Elephas maximus indicus: one gene and its partner. The protein of the gene in region 2 binds, or shares a complex with, the protein of the main gene of each other region. Links are inferred from orthologs where the notes say so. Each region holds a gene or a part of one and is shown on either strand. Other genes may lie near its edges. The genes, in order: INSR and GRB14.

Region 1 (15,178 bases), on a different chromosome or scaffold from region 2:
TTAAGCATAACAACGATTGTAAGGATGGCTCAGGACCGGGCAGCGTTTTGTTCTGTTGTGCATACAGCTGCTATGAGTCAGAACGGACTCGACGGCACCTAACAACAACAACACAGAATGAATCAAGGGCACACTAAGGAGAGTACAATTGCAGGTTCAAGACTTTGTCAGATAAAAAACAAAGCTGGAGTTAGTAAACCCAAAACCCAAACTCTGAGTCAAAATTGACTTGTCAGCAACAACAACAAGCATACATATACTCTTAGAAAAGTGGGCACAACCGTTGTCCTCAGGGACATGCCACGCCCTCTGTTGTGTACGGATGTTCTCACCCATCCTGGAAGCCCCAGAGAGAGAGCTTCAAGGGCCATGGTCCCCTAGTTATTGAGACCTCAAGGAGTATGCATGACTGGAGGCTTAGTGCAGAGTTACCATGGATCCAGTCAATGAATATGCATGGCTGTATCACGCTCCTTTCCTCCTCAGGCCTGTTGCCAGGATGGGATCTGCGTCATCTCTCACTCCACCCTGCCACTCGTTTACACGTGTTTAAGTGTAGCCAAAGGAGCCCTGGAGCCCTGGTGGCACAGTGGTTAAGAGCTCAGCTGCTAACCAAAAGGTCAGCAGTTTGAATCCACCAGTCACTCCTTGGAAGCATTATGGGGCAGTTCTACTCTGTCCTGTAGGGTCTGTCCTATAGGAGTTGGAATCAGCTTGCCAGTAATGGATTTTGTTTTCTTTTTTTTTTTGGTAATGAGCCTTGGTGGCACAGTGGTTAAAGTGTTCAGTTGCTAACCGAACGATCAGCCATTCAAACCCACCAGCCACTCCTTGGGAAAAAAGAGCTAGCGATCTCTGGAAAACCCATTGCTGTCGAGTTGATTCCGACTCAAAGCGACGCTATAGGATAGGATAGAACTGCCCCATAGGGTTTCTGAGGCTGAAATCTTTACGAAAGCAGACTGCCATAAGCGCTCACCCACGACGCTGCCACCAGGGCTCCTCCACAAACATTACAGCCTAGAAAGCCCTATGGTCAGCTCTACTCTGTCAAACAGGGTTGCCATGAGTCGGAATCAACTCAAAGACAATGGGTTTGGTTGAAGTTTGGCCTGGCTGCTTCAGAAAGACAAAGAACACCTTAATTTCTCAGGCTATTTTCAAAAAGCCACACAGAGGTCTTTGTCCCACAGGTGATGAAAAATTTCTGGAACTAGACTGAGGCGATGGTTGCACAACACTGTGAACGTACTAAATGCCACTGAATCGCGTACTCTAAAATGGTTCAAAGGGAAAATTTCACGTGATGTGTACTTTAGCACAATAAAAATAAAAGAGCAACGGAGCCCTTGCCTTCTCTTCATACCCTTTGCTTGTTACCTGAGACAGTCCGTTTCTTTTTCCCCTTATCAGCTGGAAAACACTATATATGATACAGAGACTCCATTGTGTCGTATAAAATATTTTCCCATCACTGTATATTGCTTATATTTTAATTTTGGTAATTTCACTTTCAGTATTGCATTAGTTTCTTGTCTGTTGCCCTTGAGTCGATTCTGACTCATAGAGACCCTATAGGGCAGAGTAGAACTGCCCCACGACATTTCCAAGGAGTGGCTGGAGGATTCGAAGTACTGACCTCTTAGTTAGCAGCCAAGCTCTTTACCACTGAGTCACCAGGGCTCCATTAGTTTCCTAGAGCTGCCTTAACAAATTACCACAAACTGAGCAGCTTAAAACAAGGAAATGTATAGTCTCACAGTTCTGGGGGCTACCAGTTTGAATTCAAGGTGTCAGCAGGGCTGCACTTTCTCCAAAGGTCTTTCCTCGTTTCTTCCAGTTCCTGGTAGCCCCAGGCGTTCCTGTGCTTGTGGCAGTAGGGTTGTTTTCAGTTGCCTTCAAGTAGCTCAGACTCACGGTAATCCCTGTTGCAGGATAGAACTGCTCCGTAGGGTTTTCCCACCACCTGTCAGTTTGTCATATTGTGGTAGCTGTGTGTTGCTAGAAGCTATGCCACCGGTATTCCAAATACCATCAGGGTCACCCGTGGTGGACAGGTTTCAGCAGAGCTTCCAGACTAAGACAGACTAGGAAGAAAGGCCTGGCAATCTACTTCTAAAAAAAAATTAGCCAGTGAAAACCTTATGAATAGCAGTGGAGCATCGTCTGATATAGTGTTTAAAGTGTTAAAAAGCAAAGCTGTGACTTGCAGGACTAAGGTGCACCTGACCCAAAGCCATGGTGTTTTCAATTGCCTCATATGCACGCAAAAGCTGGGCAATGAAAAAGCAAGACTGAAGAAGAATTGATGCATTTGAATTATGGTGCTGGTGAAGAATATTGAATATACCACGGACTTCCAGAAGAATGAAGAAATCTGTCTTGGAACAAGTATAACCAGAATGCCCCTTAGAAGCAAGGATGGTGAGACTTTGTCTCATTTTGGACATGCTATCAGGACGGGCCAGTCCCTGAAGAAGCACAACATGCTTGGTGAAGTAGAGGGTTAATGAAAAAGAGGAAGACCCTCAACGAGATGGATTGACACAGTGGCTGCGACAACGGGCTCAAACAGCAACTGTTGTGAGGCTGGAGCAGCACTGGGCATTGTTGCATTCTGTTGTACGTAGGGTCGCTATGAGTCAGAACCGACTTGACTGCACTTAACAACAACAACGGCAATGCCATGGACTGCCAGAAGAACAAACAAATTTGTCTCGAAACAAGTACAACCAGGATGTTCGTTAGCAGTGAGGATGGTGAGACTTTGTCTCACTTTGAACATGCTATAAGAAGGGACCAATCCCTAGAGAAGGACATCATGGAAAAAACCCAAACCCACTGCCATCGAGTCGATTCCGACTCATAGTGACCGTATAGGACAGAGTAGAACTGCCCCATAGGGTTTCCAAGGAGCAGTTGGTGGATTCGAGCTGCCAATATTTGGTTAGTGGCCAAAGGCTTAACCACTGCGCCACCAGGGTCCCGGTAAAGTAGAGGGTCAGTGAAAAAGAGGAGGAGATGGATTGACACAGTGGCTCCAACGATGGGCTCAAACGTGGCAATGGTTGTGAAGACAGTGCAGGACCCAGCAACGTTTGGTTCTGTTGTACGTACGGTTGTGATGAGCTGGAACTGACTCAATGGCGCCTAATAGCAACGACAACAAAGGGTTTTCAAGGCTGGGACCTTTCTGAAGCAGATCACGACGTCTTTCTCCTGAGGCACCTCTGGGTGGAGTTGAACTGCCAACCTTTCTGCTAGTAGCCATCCAGGGACTTGGCTTGTGGTAGTATCCCCCTAATTTCCGCCACCTTTGTCACATGTCACTTGACGTTCTCACCCCCGTCTCCCTCAGTGCCCCTGTTTTCTCTCCTTATAAGAACACCAGTCATAAAGATTAGGGTCCGCCCTAATGACCTTGGGAACCCTGGTAGTGTAGTGGTTAAGGGCTACAGCTGCTAACCAAAAGGTCAGCAGTTCGAGTCTACCAGGCGCGCTCCTCGGGAACCCTATGGGGCAGTTCTACTCTGTCGTCTAGGGTTGCCATGAGTCGGAACTGACCTGACGGCACCTAACAACAACAGATATTTCCTTTGGAAGATTAATACCCAGTTCTGTATCCTCCTAGTTTTTTTTCTGTGCTTTCAATTTTTTAAACGCTTTTTCGGTCTTTAAAAAAATATTTTTGTTGTTGTTAAAAATATACAGAGCAGACCACACACCAATTCCAGAATGTCTACATGCACAGTTTGTGACATGGATTACATTCTTTAAGTTGCACGACCATTCTCATGCTCCTTTTCCCAATTGTTCCTCCCCGTTAATATAAGCTCACTGTTCTCCTCCATCCCTTCCCTGGCCCCTCCCCCGCCCAAGCTTCCTATCTAAACTTTCCAGTTGCTGTTGTCAATTTGGTCCCACCTACATAGTTCTTTAAAAGAGTACAACGTGTTCTGCATCCCACTTTGGTCAGTGGCATCTGGGATCTTAAAAACTAGCGAGCAGCCATCTAAGATGTATCAGTTGGTCCCAATCCACCTGGAGCAAAGCAGAATGAAGAACACCAAAGGCAAAAGGAAAATATGAGCCCAAGAGACAGAAAGGGCCACATAAACCACAGACTCCATCAGCCTGAGGCCAGAAGAACTAGATGGTACCTGGCTACCACCAATGACCACTCCTACAGGGAACACAACAGACAGTCCCTGATGGAGCAGGAGAAAAGTGGGGTGCAGAACTCAAATTCTAGTAAAAAGACCAGACTGAATGGTCTGACTGAGACTGGAGGAACCCCAAAAGACATGGACCCCGAACTCTGTGTTAGCCCAAAACTAAAACCATTCCCGAAGCCAACTCTTCAGACAAAGATTAGACTGGACTATAAGACATAAAGTGATATTCGTGAAGAGTGTGCTTCTTAATTCAAGTAGATACATAAGACTGAATGGGCAGCTCCTGTCCAGAGGCAAGATGAGAAAGCAGAAAGGGACAGGTTGAATAGACATGGGAAACCTGGGGTGGAAAGGCAGAGTGTGCTGTCACACTGTGGGGATGGCAACTAGGGTCACAAAACAACGTGTGTATAAATTTTTGTATGAGAAACTAACTTGATCTGTAAACTTTCACTTACGGCACAACTAAAAAAAAAAAGGTGCATTGCCAAAGCAGACTTTCTTTACTAATTCAGTGAAATATTGTTTGGTTTAAAGAAGACTTCAGGGGATATTTTTGGTGTAAGATTTAAGATGTAAAGATTATTGCAGGGCAATGGTTTTGGGGGTTCATGCAGTCTCTATGGCTTCAGAAAGTCTAGATTCCATAAGAATTTAAAGTTCTATTCTGCATTTCCCCCCATTTTGATCAGAATTCTTGTATAGAATCTTTGATCACAATGTTTGGTAAAGGTAGCCAGGCACCATTCAGTTCTCCTGGTTTCATGGCAAAGCAGGCAGTTGTTTATGGAGGCGATTAGCCACACATTCCATTTCCTCCCCTTATTCCTGACTCTCCTTCTTCCTTCTTCCCCTGTTGTTCCAGATGAAGAGAGAGCAATTGTTGTACCTTGGATGGCCGCTTGCAAGCTTTTAAGACCCCAGGTACTGTGCAACGAAATCAATGGGACAATCTCCCTAGGGATAAACACTTAAAAAAAAAGTTGTGATAAATATATTTGTAATAACACATTTGCCATTTCCACATTCTTCACATGTACAATTCAGTGACATTAAATATGTTTTCATGTTGTTAAACCACTGGCATGATCTGTTGTAAAATTTTTTCATCACCTCTGGTAGAAGCTGAATGTCCTCCAATATGCTTTAATTTTTAATTTAGCAAATTATATTTAAATGCATTTTTAGAATTTGTTTTTGAAATCCATTCGTTGAAGACTTTATAGATTTCCCTCTCCAATTACCATACGATTATCTTGGACCTTTCTAGTAACTCACAGTGTTGATAATGATTTTTCCCTTTCCCGCAGACTGGGAGATGCCTTTAGAAATAGTATATTAAAAATTGGAGTCTATTTCTAGGTTACCCCTTCTGATATATGAATTCAGCTGCCTATATTTGTGCTTATTTATATTCATTATAGCTTCATAAAGGAGCCCCAGTGGCTCAATGGTTAAATTCTCAGCTGCTAACAGAAAGGTTGGTGGTTTGAACCCACTCCGAGGCCCCACAGGAGAAAGACCTGGTGATCTGCTCCTGTAAAGATTATAGCTTAGAAAACCCTATGAGGCAGTTCTACTCTGTCGCATGGGGTTGCTATGAGTTGGAATCAACTCAGTGGCACCCTACAATAACAACATAGCTTTATAGGATTTTATTATCTGAAGAATGTTAGTGCCTTTCCCAGTTATTCTTCTTTTCCAGATGTTTCTTCCCTATTTTTACCTAATTATTCTTATAGACCAGTGGGTCTCAGCTGGAGGTTATTCTGCCCCGAGGGGACATTGGACAATGTTTGGAGACATTTTTATCACCACAACTGGGGTGAGGAGAGTGCTTCTGGTGTTTCATGGGTACAAGCCAGGGACGCTGCTAAACATCCTACAATGCACAGAACAGCCCCCTCCACAGAGAATAATCTGGTCCCAAATGTCTGTAATCTCAGTTGGAGTTGATTCAATGGCAAGTGTTTGATTTTTTTTTTAAAAGAAAGCATTATAGTTTTTTTTTTTTTTTTTAAATGGGTTGGAGCCATTGCTATTAAAATATTTCCTTGGTATTTTATTTTATTTCACTTTGCAGCTATGGTAATGGTCTGAAAAAATTTAGCTCTCTTAGACATGCTGATTTTTAAAAAAAGTAAGTAATATACGGTACATGGTGAAAAACAATTCAAACAGATTAAAAAAAAGTTACTGGTTTCTCGTATATTCTTTGAGAACCATTTCATGAATCCATAAATATCTTCCCCAATAATCAGCCATCGAAAACCCTATGGGGCACAGTTCTACCCTGACAGTCATGGGGTTGTCTTGAGTCTGAGTTGGCTGGATGGCAATTGGTCAGGGAGTCCTTCCTGACCACCCTCCCACCTCATCACACACACACACACACACACACACACACACAGAATTGTGTAATTAATGACCCTCTCCCCCACTAGGTTGTGAGCTCTACAAGGAAATAGAACATGTTTATTTTGCTGACTGTAATTCCCCGTTACTTATTGTTTAAGCTTCTTCCATTCAGCAAATATTTATTAACCAACAGTGTGTCAGGCAGCAGGAGTAACGAACCGGACTGACTGGGTTTCTGGTTCACAGGGAGGGGAGAAGATGTACTACAAGGTAAACAATAAAAAATAGGGATTCCAGGTAGTTTTAGGTGTGTTATTAAAATATCAGAGGAAAGGAACAAAGGACTCGGGGGTGGCATTTGCAAAGCCTGGTGAGCAAAGGTGTCATTGTAGCATAGAGGTGGAGTCAGCCACGGGAGGGCTTGCTGAAATGTTACAGACAGGGCTGATAGCCAGGTAAAGGCCCAGAGGGAGAAGAGAGTCAGGCCAGGGCCTGTCACACAAATAGTCGTTTAATAAAGGGGAGGAAGAATGAATGCCCAGGGCCTAGGATTGTGCTGGTCACTTTCCCAAGCTTTATTTCCTGTGTGCCTCCCCAGGCCTGCAGGTATTGTCAAAGAGGTGAGACCGACCTAGAAATGGTAAATCACTAGTCCAAGGCTACACAGAGAGTGAGGGTTGGGGTCCTGGATTTCTTATACAGAGGCCCCCTTGGCCCCTTCAGGAGGGTGACTGACTACTCACTGTCTAGCCCTATTCACAAATGGCATCACTGCGCATTCAGACACATATGAACTCCGTTGTTTTTGTTAGTTGGTGTGTGGAGTCAATTCCAACTCATGGTGACCCTATGTGTGCCAGAGTAGAACTGTGCTCCACAGGGCTTTCAAGGCTGTGACCGCCGGAAGTGGATCTCCAGGCCTTTCTTCCGAGGAACTTCTGGGTGGGTTTGAAGCGCCAACCATTTGGTTGGTAGTTCAGCGCTTAAGCGTTTACACCAGCCAGGACTCCTAGATGAACCCCAGGTCTGCATACTGAAAATCAGGCGTGTCCACCTACCCCCAGCCCAGGATCTCCAAGGGCCTGGTCTGTTCTGTCAGGATATTCCGAAACATTCTCCTAGACGCCATTTCTCCAACTACAACTACGAAGCGCGCGGCACACACAGGGCGCCGGGCATGTGACTGTCCCCAGAGGCCCGGCGTGGCTCCCGCCCCTAGACGGGGAGTCCAGGGCACCCCGACTCGGGGGAGGGGGAGATCGGAGTGGCTGGCGCGCTCTAGGCTGGGACTAGGGTGAGGTGAGTGAGGCGCTCCGCTCGTCTACAAAATTTAAGGACGTGCTCCAAACCCAAGTAACCAAGATAAATAATATCTAAATGCAGTATTAACAAAAAATTCCAACGAACAACAACAAAAAATGCACTATGAACAAAATACCGAAGTGCACAAGAAAGACAAAGATGTGTCTCGCTGGGGCGGCCAGGGCGGCCTCACGCTCCGGGACACGAGCCGCTGGCGCGGTCTGGGGAGCCCCGGGGGCCTCCAGAGCCCGGCCGGGCGGGGGGAGGGGGCGGGGCGGGATGGGGCGGGGCCTCCCTCCCTCCCCCCGCCCCCTCCCTCCCTCCGCCCCCCTCCACTCTGCCTGCCTCCCCGGCGCCGAGTCCCTTCCGAGGCGTGATCCGCGCCGCCTTTTCCCGCGGTCCGCGCGGGGCCCAGCTGACGGGCCGCGTTGTTTACGGGCCGAACAGCCTCGCGCCCGCCGCCCGCCAGCCGCCCGCCAGCCCAGGTGCCGCCGCCGCGCGCCCGTCAGTCCGTCCAAGTGTCCGTCTGTCGGTGCGTCCACCGCCTGCGGCCGAGGGCGCGCGGGACCGCCAGCCGGGAGCCGGGGCGCAGCGCGGGCTCCGGGCCCAGGGACCGCGAGCCGGGGCCGGGCCGCGCCGCTGTGTTGGTGGCGCCGAGGCCGCGCGCCCCTCCCGGGCCGTTGCTGGGGCCCTCCCGGGCGGAGGAGGAGGACGCGCGGCCACCGGCGCCTCCCGGGCGGGCGGCCGCTCGGAGCATGACCCTCGCGGTTGGGCGCCGCGCGCTCTGAGCTGCTGGGACCCCGCGCTCCCGCAGTCATGGGCTCCGGGGGCCAGCGGGGGGCGGCGGCCGCGCCGCTGCTGGTGGCCGTGGCCGCGCTGTTGGTGGGCGCCGCCGGCCACCTGTACCCTGGAGAAGGTGAGTCTGGGGCGCGGGGGTGGGCGGGGACATCGCGGCCGACGGCACCCCGCTGTTCAAATGAAGTCCCCGCTAGGGCGCGAGGGCCCGCCCGGGAGCGGGTGGCCCGGACGGTCGCGTCGACCTCGCGGGGGGCGGGAGGCCGCTGACCTTGGCCTTTGCCCGCTCGGGCTCGCGGCTCGGCTCCCCGCGCGCCTGCCCCGGGCCGAGGAACCTTGCCCCAGTGCCCGCCCCGCGGCGGGCGCCTCTCCTGAGTGCGCTCGGACCCACTCCTGCTCCTCCATCCCCACTCCCCCTTCCCCCGGTCCCGACGCGCTCCCGAGGCGGGGCACGCGTCCTCGCTGGGTCGCCTCTGGGAAGTCGGATCCTAAGGTTCGGGCGGCCTCCGACAGCCCAATGCCTGCCTGGCGTGCACACACGGTTGGATGCAACGCAGATAGTGCCGGACTTGGGGGGGGGGGCGGTGTTCTTTGGGGTTCCCGCTGCTGGGTGGCGCTGCCCCTGGGTGGGGAATTGTAGACCCCTCGTCGACTCCCAAGAAGCCCTGGTCGTGCAGTGGTTAAGCGCTCCCTGGTAACCAGAAAGGTTGGCGGTTTGAACCCACCAGCCTCTCCGCGGGAGAAAGATGTGGCCGTCTGCTTCGGTAGAGATTACAGCCTTGTAAACCCTATGGGGCAGTTCTACTCTGTCCTATAGGGTCGCTATGAGTTGAAATCAATTCAAGGGCACATAACAACAACTCCGATTTCCTTGGGATTAAGCTGGTGACCACCACTACGGTCCGCGTTTACACATTTGTGTCCTGCTTCCAGATATCCTGAGCCAAACTCTAGCACCGTGGCAACACCTGCAGCCGTTGTAGTAACAACTAGGGGTGGCATACATCATGGTTGTTATAAATAGTATCACTGTATGCCTGGGGTTGGTCCATCTTATTTCTCTGGACCCTCACAGTGGCCCCTGGAGGCTGATAGTGCTATTCCCCCATTTCACAGAGGCGTAACCTGAGGCTCAGATAGCTCACAGAACTCACCTGCTCCAAAGTCAGTGCCAGAGCTGGGACTTGAACCTCTGTCAGTGGGATTCCAGGTCAAGGCTCTGGTTTGCAATCCCTCGCCCTAGGTCCCCTAAACCCTTCCCACCCCTCAGCTTCACCCTTCATGAGGGTTCTTTCCCTGTTAGCCCTGGGAGTGTCTCTGGCCTTAATGAGCCTCACACTCCCCCTGGCCCCATGGGCTGCCCTAAACCCCTACCCCAGCATCCTCCTTGCTCTGCTTGTGGGCCGGGACTGATATAATTGGGATTTCCCACCATGGGGTCTAAAGCTCTGCTTTAAACATATCTGTTGGGTTACTTCTTCACCTATCTCCATAAAAGGAAATAGATCATGGGTGGGGAAGGGGTTAGAGAGGGAAGTCATAGAAGCTCCTGAGTTCCCTGATGTAAACGAGGTAGATGAGAAAGCATAAGCTTTGAAGGTAACAAACCAAGTTTGCTGAGTGGCTGTGCCACTTGGTTTCTCCGAGACCCTGAGTACCTGGTAGGCATCAGGTCTACCAGGTAGACTGCGAAGAGTCGCAGTTGGTTTGGGTTCTCATTAGGAAAACCCAAGACGAGTGATTAGACCTGTGCCCGGCTTCTTGTATGTGCACGAGTATGAGTGTGTACTTCTGCCTGGGCACGCTTGTGTGTGTGTGTGGCTCCTCGCGCTTCTGTTCCATCTAGCTTTGGTAATTAATTGTGGATCTGTGCCTGGGCTTCCAGGCCTCAGATTTACTGCTGCTTTCTGTATTTACGGAAACCCTGGTGGTGTAGTGGTTAAGTGCTACGGCTGCTAACCAAAGGGACGCCAATTCGAATCCGCCAGGCGCTCCTTGGAAACTCTATGGGGCAGTTCTACTCTGTCCCATAGGGTCGCTATGAGTCGGAATCAACTCGATGGCACTGGGTTTGGTTTTTGGGTTTTTCTGTATTTACAGCTTCCATGAGGTCAGGGGCTTTTTGTCTGTTTTGTTCACTGTTAACATTTCCAGAGCCTAGAACAGTGCCTTGCACATGGCTGTGGTTGTTAGGTGCTGTCCAATCCATTTTAACTCATAGCGACCCCGTGTGAAAGAGTAGAACTGCCCTGTAGGGTTTTCTAGGCTGTAATCTTTACCGGAGTAGAGTGCCAAATCTCTTCTCCTGTGGAGCTGCTGGGTGGCTTCAAACCATCAACCTTTCCGTTAGCAGTTGAGTGCTTAACCGTTACACCAGCAGGACTCCTTTGGCATACAGTAGGTGTTCAGTAAATGTTTCTTTTTGAATGGGGCTAGGAACAGAGCCTCCGAAGGAGCTGCTTGTTCGCCAGATAATACTTAACAGTAAGAGCGGACACTTAGCAGGCGCTGTTCTCTGTGCTGTGCGTATATAACCTGAGTTCATCCTCGGGAAGTTGTTGTTGTTGTTGTTGTTAGTTGCCTTCCATTCGATTTCGACTCATGGTGACTCCATGTGTGCAGAGTAGAACTGCTCCACAGGATTTTCAAGGCTGTGACATTTTGGAAGCAGATCGCCAGACCTGTCTTCTGTGGTACCTCTGAGTGGTTTTGAACTGTCAACCTTTTGGCTGCTAGTTGTAGGGCCTATTATTATCCCTTTTTGCAGATGAGGGGCGCCCTGGTGGTGCAGTGGTAAAGAGCTCCACTGCCAACCAAAAGGTCGGCAGTTCAAATCCACCAGCTGCTCCTTGGAAACTCTATCAGGCAGTTCTTCTCCGTCCTATAGGGTCGCTATGAGTTGGAATGGACTTGGCGGGAACGGGTTTGCTCTTGGCTTAGTTTTGCAGATAAAGACAGCTGCCCAGAGCTCCAGCAGGTGGCACAGTCGAGATTAGAACCCAGAGCGCTAATTTCTTAAGCAAAGATCATTCTTTCAGTAACTAATTCCTGCCATGTGCCTAAGCCTCCCCCAGCCCTACCCTGGGGTAATGTTTAACAGGATTCTATCAAATAGATGAGATGTGATGCCCCTTGAAGACGTGGGGAGTAGGGGGAGGACCATCTTTCCAGATCATTAATCTCTGTTGTTGTTGTATGCTGTCAAGTAGAGTCCTACTCGTAGCGACCCCATATGACAGAGTTAGAACTTCCCTGTCGGGTTTTGTTTCCCAGGCTATAATCTTTATGGGAGCAGATTGCCAGGTCATTCTCCCACGGAGCTGCTGGCAGGCTCAAACCGCTGACTTTTCAGTTAGCAGCTGAGCGCTTAACCATTGCACCACCAGGGCTCCTTTATTAATCCCTAACGTCAGCCAATACGGCATTTTGGGCGAGGTGGGGAGGAGGGAAATAAATGCCATTTTTAAGGACCGAAGAACTGTTTCTTGGAGATGTTGTATGGGGCTGTGCCACCCCCACCTGTGGTCCCGTGGAGTCTTCATTGCTGGGTGGACCTGGGCTAGGGCTGCCTTCTCTGTTTCCATTTAGATTGGGTGGTTCTGGCCCCAGGTTCCTTACCGGCATTGCAAAGTCAGAGAACTAAAGCAGTGCGGGGTTAATGAAAATCGGACCCCACAGGTTTCCTGGGTTCAAGTTAGTTGGCCAATTGAGGCATAAGATGCTTTCTTGTTTCCAGACACTCCTGATTTCTTAGGTACCCCTGATTCTCAGGTACCCCTCATTTCTCAGACACTCCTGATTTCTCGAGGGACAGCCACGAGATGTTTCTCTGGTGTGTTTGGTACAAAAGATCCCCTAGTCCCCAGGCAGAACTGCCATCTGCTCAGTCACCTCCCTGCGATGATTCCAGACCTCTGCTTCTCTCCTGGAGACTGCATCTGGCCCCTGCCCCACTCTGTTATCCCCCTGGGGTCCCCACCTGATCCCACTTCCATTCCGCTGTCAAATCAACCCCTGACCCCATGTATAACCTGGTCCTGTGCCATTGCCATGATCATTTGGAGTTTGGACCATTGTGATCCATGAGATTTTTACTGGCTGATTTTCAGAAGTAGGTTGCCAGGCCTTTCTTCCTGGTCTTAGTCTGGAAGCTCTTCTGAAACCTGTTCAGCCTCATAGTAGCAAGCAAGTCTCCCTTGACATACGGGTGGTAGCTGTACATGAGGTGCATTGGCCAGAAATCGAACCCGGGTCTGTCACATGGAGGGTGAGAATTCTGCCACTGAACCACCAACGTTGTTGTCATTAGGTGCCATTGCATCTACTCTGACTCCTAGTGACCCCATGTGTTCTACAGAGTAAAACTGCCCCATAGGATTTCCTAGGCTGTAATCTTAATGGAAGCAGATCGAAGGTCTTTCTCACGTGGGTTTGAACCCCCAACCTGTAGGTTAGCAGTTGAGTGCTTAACTGTTCATGCCATCAGGGCTTTTGGCAAAACCACCACCGTCCCCTTCCTGTTTTATGAGAGCAGGACTTCTTACCCTTGGCACCCTTGACGTTTGGGTCTGGATCATTCTCTGCAGTGGTGGTGGCGTGGCATCCTGTGTACTGTAGGGTGTCGAGCAGAATCCCTGGTCTCCACCCATTAGATGCCAGTTGAGAACCACTGCAGCAGAATTGGCCTCATCTTTGTCTAAGACGCTTCTCCGCCTGGGCCCCTGCTTGCTCCCCTCTCTCCATCCAAGGAGCTCCTTCCACCCACAAGCCTTTCTTGTTTCAGCCTTTAAACATTCAATGCTCCCCAACGCCACTCCCCACCACCTGGCCTGGGTTCCAAGCCTGGGCCCCCACCCACCTCGCTTGCTCCCCTTTCACCCACTGCTCTGCCCACAGCGTCTGGCTTGTGTCTCTACCGCCCTGCTGTGGCTCTCCACAAAGGTAATCCTTCACCTCCCAGTTACGTCTTCTGTGGCCTCACCTCACTTGACCCCTCTGGGTTTGACACTGCCCACTCCCTGCCGCTAGAAGGTGACTTGTCACCTGTTTCTCATTTCTCACCTTTGCTGCTTCTTCTACCTGTGCTTAGAAGCTGGCCCTCATGTCTCGTGGCTCCCTGGATCTTGTTGTATGAACTGCTGTCGAGTTGGTCCCTGGCTCCGTGCGTTACAGAGTAGGCCTGCTTCCTGGGGTTCTCTCGGCTGTGATCTTTAATGGAAGCAGTTTGTTAGGCCTTTCTTCTGTGGAGCCACTGGGTAGATTTGAACCACCAGCCTTTAGTTAGCAGCTGATTGCAAGCAGCTCGTGCCAGCCACACTCGCAGGACTCTATTATGACCCTCTCTAAGCCTAGATTTTTATTTACTTAGATTTTTATTTTATTTTTATTTACTGGTCTGACTCCATCTAGAATAGATGGCCCTCAGGGGCCAAATCCTGCCCACCGCCTGCTTTTGTAAATAAAGTTTTATTGGCACACAGCCATGCTCATTCATGTACAGACTTTAAAAAAAAAATGTTATTATTATGCTTTAAGTGAAAGTTTACAGCTCAAGTTAGTTTCTCATACAAAAATTTATACACACATTGTTATGTGATCCTAGTTGCTCTCTCTATAATGTGACAGCACACTCCTCCTTTCCACCCTGTATTTCCTGTGTCTGTCCAATGAGCTCCTTTCCCTTTCTGCCTTCTCATCTGCCTTCAGACAGGAGCTGCCCGTTTAGTCTCATGTATCTACTTGAACTAAGAAGCACATTCTTCATGAGTATCTTTTTATGTCTTATAGTCCAGTCTATTCTTTGTCTGAAGAGTTGGCTTCAGGAATGGTTTTTTTTCTGAGTTAACAGTAAATCCAGGGGCCATGTCTTCCAGGGTTCCTCCAGTCTCAGACAGACCATTGAGTCTGGTCTTTTTTACTAGAATTTGAGTTCTGCACCCCACTTTTCTCCTGTTCTATTGTGGACTCTCTTGTGTTCCCTATCAGGGCGGTCATTGGTGGTAGCCGGGCACCATCTAGTTCTTCTGGTCTCAGGCTGATGGAGTCTTTGGTTTATGTGGCCCTTTCTGTCTCTTGGACTCATATTTTCCTTGTGTCTTTGGTGTTCTTCATTCTTCTTTGCTCCAGGTGGGTCGGGACCAATTGATGATGCATCTCAGATGGCCACTTGCTAGCTTTTAAGACCCCAGACGCCACGTACCAAAGTGGGATGCGCAACATTTACTTAATAAGCTTTATCATGCCAGTTGACCTAGACGTCCCCTGAAACCATGGTCCCCAGATGCCCTCTCCCTCCACTCTGCCCCTTAAAGTGTTTGGTTGTATTCAGGAGACTTCTTAGCTTTTGGTTTAGTCCAGTTGTTCTGACTTCCTCTGTATCGTGTGTTGTGCAGGCTGTCCTTGATGGCTGCTTTTGCTCTACAAAGGCAGAGTTGAGTAGTTTCGACAGAGAAAGCATGGCCTGCAAATCCCAAAATATTTACTCTTTTGGCCCTTTACAGACAAAATTTGCTGATCCCAGACCTGAAATGAACTTCACGGAGGTTCAT
Region 2 (14,649 bases):
TTTCATGTGTCATTCCAACTAAGAAAATTCAATTATGGATGGTTTTAGATGATATCAAGGAATTACTGCTATTTTTGTTAAGTGAATAATGGCATTGTGGTTATATAAGAAAATGTATATTTCAGAGATGTATAGAAAAATAAGCAAAATGCAATAATAGGAATCCCAGATTTGCTTTAAAATACTTTAGCAAAGTAAATAGAGAAAAATGAAATAGATGAAGCAAATGAGCCAAAATCTTGATAACTGCTGAGCCTATGTAATGATGTATGGGACTACGGTTTACTTCTTTCTACTTCTGTGTATATGAGAGAAATGAGTATATGAGAGTTGAGTAAATGTAGCAGCCACATAAGATTCCTACAGGACCACACATACAGGTCCCATCACTGTACAAATTGAGATAATTACTGACATCACAAAGGAATGACATCAGAGGCCCTTTAATTTGGGGAAAGAAATCTACTTATCCTTTAATAGTCTCTGACATGCAAGAGGAAAAAGAGATCAAAGCCTAAACATATTAAGAAGTAATTTCTTAACTATCTGAAGGATTGTTTTATTTTTCTGAGAGATATATGAAAAGGCTTAATTCAACAGAGAATAGATTAGAAACAGCATAGTTAAGGGCAAAGCCTATTCAAACAAGATATTCTCTTAGATCTCCCTTTATTTAAACTGTGGAACCACTGGAAAATCACGTCCAGTTTTGCATTTCCTTTTTCAAAACTTAAAATGGGGATGGCAGACCCACTTCCTGGTGGTGGTGTGAGATAACAACATCCTATGGGCCGTAAACTATATATAAAAACTAGTCATTAATAATACAAATAAATCCTACTGAATGTTATAACCAATTATTTAACATATTTCCATATCAATTTTAGGAGAAGAAAACTAGAAGAAAAAACACGAAGTGACAGTTATATCTGAGGAAGGAAAAAGAATAAGAAACTCCAGGTCCTGAGATGAACATTAACAAATGTCACCCTGCTCTTCCTGTATTACAGGCAGAGTTGTAACTAACAACACTAACGTAAGTTTACTACCTGTACTACTCTCATGGTTCTCAGTTTCTTTTGAAATTGTACCTTTCCGTCAGCCACATAGCATTTCTTTGACCAAATTTAACCAAAATCAAAACCAAACCAGTTGCTGTGCAATTAATTCCACTCATGGCAACCCCATGAGTTGCAGAGTAGAACTGCTCCACAGGGCTTTCATGGCTATGGCCTCTCAAAGCAGATTACCAAGCCTTTCTTACAAGGCACCTCTTGGTAAGTTCAAACCACTAGCCTTTGGGTTGGTAGCTGAGTATTTCACTGTTCATGCTACCCAGAGACTCCTAAACTCAATTTACTCATCTGTAAAAGAAGACTATTAGACTACATGATCTCAGAGATCTCTTGTAGCTCAAACATTCCACAATGCCCAGTTCTTCGTAAGTTCTTTATCTTTAAAACCTTCAGAGAGTTTATTCTGAATTAGATATACCACATAGTCTTGGGAAGCATTTACTGCACAAGCGTTTGCCAAGCACAAAAATTACCTACGGGTAGATGAGCTTGATATAAGAACTAAATCTGCCACAATGGATAAAGGTCTCTTACTCTTATCCATTCTTCAAATAACAGGTTTTCACAGTTCATTGCTAAGAAATTATTTCCTGATTAATTTGAATCAGAAATTAGAAAAAAAAAAAAAGAATCAAGATTCATTAAATTCAAGGTAAGTCACTTGAAATACAAAACTGAAATTATAAGTAACTTTTCTGAACCATCTATACGAAGAAAGGTATACTTTAAATCTGCTTTATTGGTAAACACAAAGAGCTATTTCTAAAAAATAGATCTGGCCAGCATTATAAAAAGAAGAATTGAGAGAAAAGAATCTAGTTTCTATCTCACTCTAGCTCTTATTTTAAAATAAAAATACTGAAAGCCTACGGTATTGTATGCTTGGGCATTTTATTTACCAAAAGAGCTAAAGCATATCCTATTTGTGGCTTCAATGCACTTTACCACTCATGCATTATGTAGCCATCTCCAATTGTAAAAAAATATTTATGGCCTATAAAATTATTTTTGACTGTGGTTTTAAAAGGCCAGGTGAAATTTAGCATTTCTAGTCAGCAGTCTTTCAAACTTTCTGGTAACTTACTTGTAAATAACAAATGCCATTCCTCACTTTTTCTAGAGCAAAGAAAGAATTGCTAAAACGAATGGAATGGATATACGAACAAAAATGAAAGCGAGAATATGAAGAAAAGAGACATCTTCTCCTATAATGTTTTAACCTTAAGTAATATTCAGTAGAACCCATTACATACAGTCATCTCAGCTGAAGGCCAGGATAATTTGGCCAGAAATACCATCTTTTAAGAAGATAATCTGTGTCAAAAAGATACTAGGCTTGGGGAAATTACTGACAGAGTTGTCAATTATCAAAGCCTCACTGGGCCCAAAGAAGCGAATGTGTATGTACAAAGGAGTAAGAACAAAAGGATCAGTTCTCAATGGAATCTCAAGGTGCGGGTTAAAGGAAACATAAAAGAATTTTAAAACTTCCTCCTCTCCAACTTTGGAACACCCTTCTCTTCATAGAGACTCCAGCCCTTAGGCCAAGGAAGGATTCAGCAGGAACAGGCCTTCTAAGGTTAGAAACACTCCTCCAGGATTGGTCCCCAGGAGGCAAGACAGAGCTTGCCGCTCATGGAACAGTAAGGCTGGCTGTGTGGGAGCACCGCTCTCTTGAGAAGGTCACTGTGGAACCAGAACACGAGGCCAGAGCAGGAGACCTGTTCGGAGGCAATAATATCATGCTTTTCCCATTTTACCCATTTGCTTAACATGACCTGAAGACATGTTGCCACTCCCCAAGATAAGATGTGTTACTCTAAGGAGATTCTCTACCCTTAGAAGTTACCCTGCCTTACCCTGACACCTCATCCACTCTCTTTCTCTATTTTCTTCCTCTACTGACACGTGCATACCAACACCTATTCTCTGTCTCATCTCAAAACAAGCTCTGCCCCATGAAAAGTCACTTGGACATGACATTGTCACAGTGTCCATTCACCAAATTAAAGTGAGAGTCAGCCTAGACCTCTCTCCTCCTACTCTTCTTTCCCCCTTCATCATTTTCCCCCAACCCAACTCCAAATCAAAGCCCTGCTTTGGGTAAAAACCCCTCAGATGGCATCTTTGGTTAGCTCAATGCCTCAGCACCTAGGATGGTGCAAGGAACATAGCACGCCCTTCATAAACATGGAATAATCTATTAAATTCCCCAAATAACTATTGTGTCCTTATCTGACATTTCCTTTGCCTATTCTGGGTCACATGGACAATCGAGAACTGATTTTCTCCAACACCACTGCACACAGTCAAATCTATCATTCTATTCCCATCTCATACCCTAACTCAGAGTCAAACTCTCAAAGAGCTTGGATGTTTTACCCCGGCTGATTGGTCCTTGGGATCTAACTCTTAACCTCACCCTGATAACAAAGCTCTCGAGCAAATCTCCCCATTGTCCACACCTCTATCCAAAATCATAGTCCCACCCATTTAAGGGCTTGCCTCCACCACTGCAGACTCTGATGCAGAACATACCTCTGTTCTTGGGATATTTACTCCTCCTTTCTCCAACCCTTATCCAAAAACATATGCATCAATTAGACTTCAACCAACATCCCCCCAAAATAGTCTATACACCTTGCTACATTAGATTTCCCTCAAAACACAACATTCCACGTGATGCTTCCCTACTGCCTCTATTATTGCTTATTATCAAGAACTCATTTTTCCCTAGGGCATTTCCTTCATTTCTAAAAATATAAACACACATCTATGAACTCACACAAGGAAGGTAGTAAGGCTGCGGAAAAAAGAAACAGAACAATAGATGTAAAGGAGAGGGAGATGATCCACTGTCTTTCCACTGTGTTCATCACCCCCTTCTCACTACAGGCATCTGGCTGTTTAAATTCATTGCTTCGATAACAACAAGGTGCATACGCCTAGTGAAGTCCCTCTTTGTTTTGCTAGCTCAAAGCTGAGAAAACACGTACTGAGACATGGATCGTTCTAGGATACACTTTTTTTTTTTTCCTCAAAATATATAATTATGATGCAGCTCCTCATAGTTGTTTGATCCTTTTTTCCTTAGAAATCTAAATTGGTTAAGTCAGTGTCCAAACTAGAAACCTGAAATCATAAAAATAAAGCCCATCTTCTATCATTTACAAGTCATTTGCTTTCTTGTAGTCAGAAATCTCCAAACTGAGGAATTCACTGAAATAAAGGAGACATGCCCAGTCCTAAACTCCAATTACTTATTGCTACAGATTCACTATATCACTTTCCTTTAGTAAGTGAGGTTGGCTTAGGTTGAGAATGTCAAAGATTAACGAAGATTAGGATCGTTGATTTTATGTGTCAACATGGCTAGGCTATGGTGTCCAGCTGTTTGGTCAAACACTAATCTAGATGCTGCCAGGCAGGTATTTTATTGAGATAATTAATATTTATGAGCAGTTGACTCTAAGTAAAGGAGATTACCCATGATAATGTGCATGGGCCTCATCCAATCAGTCGAAGGCCTTAAGAGCAAAAACCGAGGTTTCCTAGAGAAGAAATTCTGCCTCAAGACTGTTAACATAGATATCCTGACAGAGTTTCTAGCCCACCATCTGGTCTCCAATTACAGACAAGAGACTTCTAGAATATCCAGCCTGTTGCCTGGCCTATGGATTTTGAATTTGCCAGCCCCCACAACCATATGAGCCAATTCCTTAAAATAAATTTCAATCTTTTTCTCTCTCTTTCTCCTTTTATTCTCTCTATGTGTATCTATCGGTTTTTGTTTCTGTGGATACCCTAACGTGAAGGTATTAAAGGAATCAGCCAATCCCCTTCTCACCCGCTAACACCACCCCCTCTTCAATTGCTGAATTAAAAATTGGTGGTCTCTTATCATGTATAATGCTCCCACCTACCCTGTGAATAATAATAATTCCCAGGCATTCCATTTTATATATATTCTCTCTTTTAACCCATCCCCGAATCCTAAAAGTTAAATTTTAACACTGCCGTGGTGGCTCAGTGGTTAAGAGCTATGGCCGCTAACCAAAAGGTCAACAGTTGGAATCCACCAGCCACTCCTTGGAAAGCCCATGGAGTGGTTCTACTCTGTCCTCTACTCTGTACTATGAGTCGGAATCGACTCAACAGCGAGTTTTATTACACGGATGTGAAAATCGAGGAAAATAACACCAAAGAACTGTCCTAGTCAACACAGTGATTTAACATAAGCCATACTAATCCTTTGTGAATACTGTTAAAGACTGTATGATTTTAACACTCCTAAGATTTTTGAATGAGAAAATTTCAAAATGCGTACCTGTTTTTTCCTTGAATTTACTTTGGGAAACAGGCCTGCTGACAAAACAGATGTAAATGGAGAACAGCACAGCTCAGGAAAAGGGTTTGGAATAGATGGCATTTCCAGAACATCAAGTTCTTTCTTTTTTCTCCTACACCAAGAGAACATAGGATGTAATTTACATAAAACAGAATGTAAAATATAATCACTGTCAGGATTAAAAAGTGTGTTAAGGCCAACACGTATAGCGCTAATGTTATATAAACTATACAGAAAAGGTCTGCAAAGTACTTTCTTTGGGTCGAATTAAAATATGCTAATTGATACAAAAAATCTTCTATAGTATTGCTATCTTTTTTTTTTTTGCCTTTAAAAAAAAAAATCACCAGATATGGAAGCTCCATTTCCAGTACATTCAATAATTTTCCTAAATTGTAAACACATTAACTGTGCAATTATAAATGCAAACAAATCATTCTGAGGAATACTGCTATGCAGCCATGACAACAGTCTTTAAGTTTTATTTAGTGAATTCTTTCCTCTGATATTTTATTAATCACTTTTGGAAGTTATGATTTATTTATAGCTATGGTTCATCTCACTTCAAATTTCATTCACAATGTTGCCCACACACAGTCTGTTGATTTTTCAAGTGCTTATAGGTATTAAGGAAACCCTGGTGGCGTAGTGGTTAAGTGCTAAGGCTGCTAACCAAAGGGTCGGCAGCTCGAATCCACCAGGCGCTCCTTGGAAACTCTATGGGGCAGTTAGTTCTACTCTGTCCTATAGGGTCGCTATGAGTTGGAATCGACTTAACAGCACTGGGTTTGGTTTGGTTGTAGGTACTAAACAGCAAGGTAGTGTTTTTGAGGAGGTAAGCTAATAGAACTTGCTAGTATAAATGTCCACTGGAGAGTAATTTTAACTTTAGTGAAGTTGGAGCACTTTGAAAATATGGGGTAAAAAAGTTCCATTTAAATTATGAATATAAAGGACTGCAGATTTTTGAATTGTTGAAGTCTTTTTTCTTTCCTAAAGTATGTGCAAAACTGTGATCTCTAAAGGCACTTAGTGCTGTGGAGATTGGGAAAACCTTTTAAAGCCTCTATTCTTTGCTGCTGAACAGCAAGGCTGCTCAAATGTCAATCCAGCGTTTTGCTTCCCCTAGGTCGCTGTAAGACTCTATGTGGGAGGTGAACTCATTCATGCTACGATTTTTATTTAAAAAATACAAAATAAAAAGAATTAAAAAAAAAAATTCAGGGCTACGAAGAAGGAAAGGGGGTAGTCAACCCGGAGCTTGGCCTCCTAATTCACACCGATAGGCAGAAGCAAGAGAGACCAAGAGCTCTCAATGAAACGGTGATGCTATTTATAAGGCGCTGTGAGATCGCAATGTCCTGCTGATCCGGCAGGAGCCAGCTCAAAGGGAATTGTCTTCAGACACTTTCACAAACTTGGCCCAGCACTGTGCACATGGCTCACCCCCTAGGACCGCCTCCTACCCCTTTGCCGGCTGCCAACCCAGGACACTCCCCCGCGCCCTCGGAGGGCTGCCTACCTGTCTGCAGCACAGCCGCGGGTCCCATCCGGAGGGGGCAGGAGAGCCCGCGCATGCAACCACGGGGCTGGCGCCAGGTCGCGGGCGTCGCCCCTCCCCTGGCCAGCGCCGCACACCTGGACCGCCAGCGGCGAATCCTGAGCAGCCGCCCTGCCCGCGGCGCTCTGCCCATCTTGCAGGGAAGTAGTCATTGTCGCCGGCTGAGGGGCTCGGACCTCATGGGAGACCCGGCGCGGGGGGAGAAGGGAGTCGAGCGGCGGGCAGTGAGGTGCAGCTCAGGCAGCCAGAGCGCTCGGCAGGTGCGGTGGCCTCGCCGCGGGCGCTCCGGGCCCGGGCGGCTCAGACGCGCGGCCGAGCAGTCTGCGAGGCGGCGGGGGAGGGGAGGGGGCGGAGGAGGAGGGTGGGGAGAGGGGAGGAGCGGCCGGTGGGTGGGGGCCGCCGGCGGCCGGGCGAGGCGCGGAGGGGGTGAGGAGGAGAGTGCGCGAGCGCCCGGCCGGCCCCGCGCGTGGCCCGGGGCGCGTGGCTGCACTGGCGTCGGTCCCGAGGGGCCCGCGCCGGGGCCTCCAGCTGCCGACCCCGGAGGCCGGGTCGCCGCCTCCCCAGGTGGGCGCCGGAGCACCCGGCTGAGCCCAAAGTCAGGACGAGCCCCGTGCAGCTGGAGCCGGGGATCAAGCTAAGCTGAGCCTGTGCTCCCTTTGAGCTTGCTTTGCAGACCGCAGGCAGGGCAGGGGTCTGGGCCACGCCGACCCCCAGACCCTTCCATTCTTCCAGCTCTGCTATCTGAAATCACCTAAGATTTCGCTGGGCCGCCATGACAGGCCCCACTGTACCAGGAGGCCAGGGGTCCTGGGGGCTAAATTTGCCCCCGTCCTCCCCACACGTGCTTCTTCTTTCCATCCACTCCGTAGCCAAAATGGGGGCGGGGAGGGAGCAGAGAGTACAATCATTTTAGAACACTGTACTGAGGTTTTGAGAATTCTTGGTAAAGCATGAGTAAAACCTGGGAGTGTCTTTGGAATTAGGAAAATTATTAGTTTTTACTTTAATTTTCATCTTCCTACTCTGTTCTATTCCACCCTCACAATAGCCCTATAAATTAGACGTTTACCTTTTTTACCTTATAAATTAGATTATTTTACAGATCAGGAAACGGGCTCAAAGCCATGGAGTACCTTACACCACACAGCACTAGTAACTGGTACAGCCAAGATTCCACTATGCTGTTCCGTTAAGAGGCAGTAATACTACCTGCTCTGAAATTCAAAATGATACTCTGTTTCTGCTCTTCCAGTCAGTGCCCCCATCCCAGTGGGCAGTTGAGAATTTCCAAATGTTAATCACGCTCTTTGTTCTTTGACCAAATTAGGTAACATATGTCCCTGGCATCTGCTTCACCAGGTTTTCTTAACCTCCACAATCTCTGCCAAGGGAAAGGCAAACAACTGCCTCCTGAAGAAACCTGCAACTCCCCACCCCCACCATATTATTGCATCCTCCCACCATGGCACCAAACACTGCTAATGCCTAAACCCACACCAGCCCATTGCCATCCAGTGGATTACAACTCAATAACCCTATAGGACAGAGTAGAAGTGCCCCATAGGGTTTCCAAGGAGCAACTGGTGGACTCGAGCTGCCAAGGTGGTGGATAATGCTGTTAGCTAACACTTACTGACACTGTGTGCCAGGCGAAGATGTCACTCATCTCCAATTCCCTGATTTATGGCCAGGATTCTATGTGTGAATTTTAAATAGTGTAAAAGCTGTTGTTAGGTGCCGTCCAGTCGATTCTGAGTACCAATCCTATGCACAACAGAACGAAACATTCCCTGGTCCTGCAACATGCTCACAAAAGTTGCTGCGCTTAAGCCAATTGTTGAAGCCACTGTGTCAGTCCATCTCGTTGAGAGTCTTCCCCTTTTTCTCTGACCCTCTACTTTTACAGAGCATGATGTCCTTCTCCAGGGACTGATCCGTTCTGATAACATGTCCAAAGTATGTGAGACATAGTCTCACCATCCTTGCTTCTAAGGAGCATTCTGATTGTACTTCTTCCAAGACAGATTTGTTCATTCTTTTGGCAGTCCATGTTATATTCAGTATTCTTCATCAACGCCATAATTCAAAGGCGTCCTCTTCTGAATCCAGCCTGAATTTCTGGCAGTTCCCCGTTGATATACTGCAGCAGCCTTTTTTGAATGATCTTCAGCAAAATATTGGTTGCTTGTGATTTTTTTGTGTGTGATATTAATGATATTGTTTGATAATTTCCAAATTCAATTGGACTGCCTTTCTTGGAAATAGGTGTAAATATGGATCTCTTCTAGTCGGTTGGCCAGGTAGCTGTCTTCCAAATTTCTTGGCATAGATGAGTGAAGTGCTGCATCTGTTTGTTGAAACATCTCAATTGGTGTTCTGTCAATTTCCAAAGCCTTGTTTTTTGCCGGTGCCTTCAGTGCTTTTTTTTTTTTTTTCAGTGCAGCTTGGACTTCTTCCTTCAGTATCATCAGTTCCTAATCGTGTTACCTCCTGAAATGTTGAACGTTGACCAATTCTTTGGTATAGTGCCTCTGTGTATTCCTTCCAGCTTCTTTTGATGCTTCCTGGGTCGTTTAGTATTTTCCCCATAGAATCCTTCAGTATTGCAACTCAAGGCTTGAATTTTTTCTTTAGTTCTTTCAGCTTAAGAAATGCAGAGCGTGTTCTTCCGTTTTGGTTTTCTATCTCCAGGTCTTTGCACATGTCATCATAATACTTTGTTTTCTCGAGCCACCCTTTGAAATCTTCTGTTCAGCTCTTTTACTTCATCATTTTTTTTCCTTTTGCTTTAGCTACTCAACATTCAAGAGCAAGTTTCAGAGTCTTTTCTGACATGTATTTAGGTCTTTTCTTTCTCTCCTGTCTTTTTAATGACCTCTTATTTTCTTCATGGATGATGTCTTTGATGTCATTCCACAGCTTGTCTGGTCTTTGGTCATTAGTGTTCAGCAGGTCAAATCTGTTCTTAAGATGGTCTCTAAATTCAGGTGGGATATACTGTAGGTTGTACTTTGGCTCTTGTGGATTTGTTCTAATTTTCTTCAGTTTCAACTTGAACTTGCATATGAGTAATTGATGATCCAATCCACAGTAGGCCCCTGGCCTTGTTCTAACTGATGGTATTGAGCTTTTCCATGTAAAACTACACGGATATATTGAGGTCATTCCAGCAAAATAAAAATGAGGTCTCTGGGTGGTGCAAACTCTGTTGGTAACCACAAGTTGGAGGCTCAAATCCACCCAGAAACACCGTGGAAGAAACGCCAGGTGATCTACTTCTGAAAATCAGCCATTGACAACCCTATGGAGCACAGTTCTACTCTGATACACATGAGGTTACCATGAGTCAGAATCAGTCGAAGGCAACTCGGTTTTTTTGTTTTTTTTTTTAATGTATTTACAAATAACTGGAACTAAAGAAACAAAAAAAGAAAGAAACTCTAATCATTATCATAATTCCTATTTTCATCCGAAAAGCTTCTGCAAACAGCCAGTTTTCTCTAAGAATAATATCGTTCGAGCATTCTAATATCAGGGTGAATCAATAGCTAAAACTGGTTCCGTTTCCATCCCTGACAACACATTTTCTGTCTGTCTCTCTCTCTCTCTCTCCCCCGCTCTCCCTCTCTTCCTCTCTCTGTTTCACACACACACACACACACACACACACAGAGTAGGCTCTCTCTTTTATTGGAGAAAGGATAGAAGGAAACTGCATGTATCTTTAGAATCACTGGAAATTTACCATCCCACAAGATGTATCCTGCTCCACTTCCCAGGGTAATTTTTTAACCTCAAGAAAGAATATTCATTGGTTGGAATCATATCTCAATTGTGTCTCTTCTCTTCAGGCATTCAAATTCTTTTCTCCCCATTAGAGAAAGTCCAAGGGGTATCCATGTGCATGCTTTATACTCCTCCTCTAACCCCATGGGTAAAAATTATAAACCCTGCAGTCACCAGGGAGGAAAAAAGGAAAAAGAATGGGTCTCTAAGTAATGCAGACCTAAATAGTTGTATCTTGTAGACTGGTGTTAAGTAATAAATTTACTCCCAGGAATACCTTGAGGATCTGTACCAAGAATTATTAGAATTAGCTCATTCACAATTTTGAAACAAAAGAACTAGCATTCGTATCCAAGAGGTTTACAAGAATTGATTCTAAATAAAGAACTGTACAGTAATAAAAGGTGCCAAACACTGTCAGACCTACTACAGCCTAAGAGAAAACAGAGGCATTTTTCTTTCAAAGGAGAAGTTTAAAAAGATTTCTTTCCCCACAACTGGCAAGGATTTCTGAAACTATAAGAAGGCAGATATCTTGGTGCCAAAGTGTGGGTCCTCCTCTGAATGGCTGTCATTTCCTTTTGACTTGAGCCTCTAAAATCGAGAAGGAAGCTGTTTCCTGGCCCCTGCCCCACCTTGGACCCATTAGCAGCTCCCTTTCCTATCTCCTCATTCAGAGATCTCAGCATTTCCCACCCCTTATGGAAAATGTGCCCTCCTTCATCCCTCCCTCTGCTTATCGAATTAAACTTCTTAACCCTTAATATTGGGAAAGATAACGCACACAGAAAAATGTTCAAAAAACAAAGATATATGGCAAACGCACTGATGTCAGGTGATGAAATAAAGCACCTCTCATACCCCTACGCCAATCCAGAGTTTCATAGTCCTTATTTTTATTGATAGTTTAGCCATCTAAGTACCTATCCCTAAACACAATAGATTCCTTTGTCTGGATTTTACCTTTATATAAATGGAATCAGACACGATGCACCCTTTTGTGCTCAACTTTGTTCCCTTTACATTGTACTTGTGATATTCTCCCAAGCTTTTCTAAGTAGCTTTCATTCTTCTATTATATGCAAATACCACAATCTACCCATTCTACTGTATATAGTCATCTGGACTGTTTTCAACTTCTTACTATTATAAACAATGCTGCAAGGAACATTCTTGTATGCATCTCTTGGTGCACATATGCATGCATTTCTGTAAGGAATGTACTAGAGAGGCATTGTGATGTCATGGTATGTGTATGTTCAACTTTAGTATTGCTGTTGTCAGGTGCCATCGAGTCAGTTCCGACTCATAGCTACCCTACGTGCAACAGAACAAAACACTGACAAGTCCTGCACCAAACTCATAATTGTTATGTTTGAGCCCGTTGTTGCAGCCACCTTGTCAATCCATCTCATTGAGGATCTTCCTCTTTTTCACTGGCTCTCAACACTAGTAGATACTGCCAGTTTCCACTGCCACCGGCAATGCATAAATGTCTGCACTTCTTCACATTATTGGAAATCAGTATATTACTCAAATTTTCGCATTAGATTTTCTGATGAATGTATGGCATGTCTCATTGTAAAATATGATCTTCCCTAATGCTAATGAGATTGAACAATTTCCATAAGTACCAACTCAAGTCTCCTGTCCCTTTTTATGGTGGATTGTTTTTCTTTTTAGGAGTTCTTTTTATATTCTGGTTACTAATTCTTTGCTGGTTATAAAAAAAAAAAACCTGTTGCCATCAAGTCGATTCCAACTGGTAAATTTTATGCATATCTTCTCCCAATTTGTGGCTTGCTTTTTTCAAATTCTTAATGGTATCTTTTGATAAACAGATGTTCTTAATTGTAAGGTAGTCAAATTTAGCTTTTTATGATTTTTTTTTTTTTTTAACATTCTTGTCATGGATTGAATTCTGTCCCCCCAAAAATGTGTTATCAGTTTGGCTGTGCCATGGTTCCCAGTATTGTGTGATTTTCCTGCGTTGTAAATCCTGCCTCTACGATGTTAATGATGGAGGATGGGTGGCAGGTGTGTAAGTGAGACAGGACTCAATCTATAAGACTGAATCATGTTTTGAGGCAATCTCTTCAGATATAAAAGAGAGAAGCCAGCAGAGAGACAGGGGGACCTCATCCCACTAAGAAAGCAGTGACAGGAGCAGAGGGCGTCCTTTGGACCCAGGGTGCTTGCGCAGTGAAGCTCCTGGTCCAGGGGAACATTCTTGGGAACGCCGACAGAGAGAAAGCCTTCCCCTGCCCTGAATTTAGACTTTTAGCCTACTTTGCTATGAGGAAATAAACTTACCTTTGTTAAAGCCTTTCACTTGTATTTCTATTATAGCAGCACCGGATGACTAAGACAATCCTGCTTAGAAGTCTTTCCTCATATGTTCAAGAAATTTATGGCTTGCCTTTCACATTTAAATCTATGATCTACCTAGGATTTATTTATTTTCTTATTGTGTGAAACAGATTGTTTTAGTTATTTTTCATATAAGCAGATAATTGTGCTAGCAGCGTTCATGGAAAGAATCACTCTTTCCTCACAACTTTGCAGTGCCTCCTTTGTCATAATTCAATTGTTCATCTATCCATGGGTCTGTCCTGGGCCCTCTCTTCTAGACCATTAATTTATTTACTGATGCTTATGCCAATATCACATTGCCCTAATTACTATGATTTATGACAATTCATAATACTCAGTAGAACAAGCCTTTTTATTTTGTCCTTCTTCTTCAAGATTGTTTTATTGAGTTTAGAATTAGCATTTCAAGTTCTACAAAGACCTGCTAGGGTTTTGATTGAGTGGTATTGAATCTATTAATCCATTTGGGGAAAAGTAGTATTTTGAAATAATAACACTCCCTATCCGTACAGCTGCTACGTCCTTCCACTTGTTTGTATCTTAATTTGTCACAATGATGTTTTATGGTTTTCCGCAGACATTTTGCACATCTTTTCTTAGACATATTCTTCTTGTTTTTGTTGATAGGCGCCATTGAGTCAGTTCCGACTCAGATCGACCCTATGTACAACAGAACAAAACACTCCCCTGCCCAGTCCGATGCCATCCTTACAATCGTTGCTACATATGAGCCCATTGTTGCAGCCACTGTGTTAATCTAAGACATGTTCTTAGATATTTGATAATTTAACATTGTTTCGGATACCTTTTTGTCTACGTAATTGCTTTCATATATTAATTTTAATATTTTACCTGTAAATATTTTTATATTTTTATATACGCAACCATATTATTTGTGAAAAATGACAGTTTTATTTGTTTCTTTCTTTTAAGGGCCCTGGTGGTGCAGTAGTTAAAGCACTCAGCTGCCAACCAAAAGGTTGGCAGCTTGAACCCACCAGTCACTCAGTGGGAGAAAGATGTGGCAGTCAGTTTCATAAAGATTTACAGCCTTGGAAACCCTATGGAGCAGTTCTACTCTGTTTGGTAGGGTTGCTGAGAGTCAGAATCGGCTCAAGGGCAGTGAATTTGGTTTTGGAATCCCACCTTTTACGTTCTTTCGTGGCCTTACCATGCTGCCTAGGACCTTGAGTACAATGTTGGATCTAAGCTCAGTAGCAGGAATGCTAGTCTTACTCCAGATACCAAACGGATGATTTTCAACATTTTACCATTAAATATAATACTGTCATACATTTATTATAGAGGAGAGGTTCCCTGATTTTCCTTATTAGGTAATAATTTTTATCACAAATGGATATTGAATATTATTTTACAGCTTTTCTGCCTCTACTGAGTTTATTGTATAGTTTTCCTCCTTCATTCTATTAAAGTAAGGAATTATGTCAATATGTTAAAAAGGAAAACTCAACTTACATTTATGGACTAAACCTTACTCAGTTTAT

The links.
Region 1: the proteins of GRB14 (region 2) and INSR are in contact, whole or in part, in a crystal structure (PDB 2AUH), measured with the Homo sapiens proteins. The link is inferred for Elephas maximus indicus from reciprocal best matches to the Homo sapiens genes GRB14 and INSR. Residues at the interface, in NP_004481.2 of Homo sapiens: Glu373, Asn374, Ser375, Leu376, Val377, Ala378, Met379, Asp380, Phe381, Ser382, Ser386, Val388, Ile389, Glu394, Val398, Ala399, Glu401, Glu402, Gly403, Leu404, Trp406, Arg407; in NP_000199.2 of Homo sapiens: Leu1065, Arg1066, Ile1069, Glu1070, Lys1112, Arg1116, Arg1163, Met1180, Arg1182, Tyr1190, Lys1192, Gly1193, Gly1194, Lys1195, Gly1196, Leu1197, Leu1198, Pro1199, Val1200, Trp1202, Ser1207, Leu1208, Lys1209, Asp1210, Gly1211, Gln1235, Asn1242, Glu1243, Leu1246.

What each region holds. Positions count from the first base shown.
Region 1 is NC_064821.1:11,902,994-11,918,171, reverse strand, and holds the start of INSR (insulin receptor), read left to right. Parts: upstream 1-8,640; 5' UTR 8,641-8,651; coding exon 8,652-8,751; intron 8,752-15,178. UniProt on the Homo sapiens protein: Receptor tyrosine kinase which mediates the pleiotropic actions of insulin.
Region 2 is NC_064824.1:62,581,937-62,596,585, forward strand, and holds the start of GRB14 (growth factor receptor-bound protein 14), read right to left. Parts: upstream 7,318-14,649; 5' UTR 7,138-7,317; coding exon 6,947-7,137; exon of another isoform or gene 6,829-6,946; intron 5,537-6,828; coding exon 5,404-5,536; intron 1-5,403. UniProt on the Homo sapiens protein: Adapter protein which modulates coupling of cell surface receptor kinases with specific signaling pathways. Binds to, and suppresses signals from, the activated insulin receptor (INSR). Potent inhibitor of insulin-stimulated MAPK3 phosphorylation.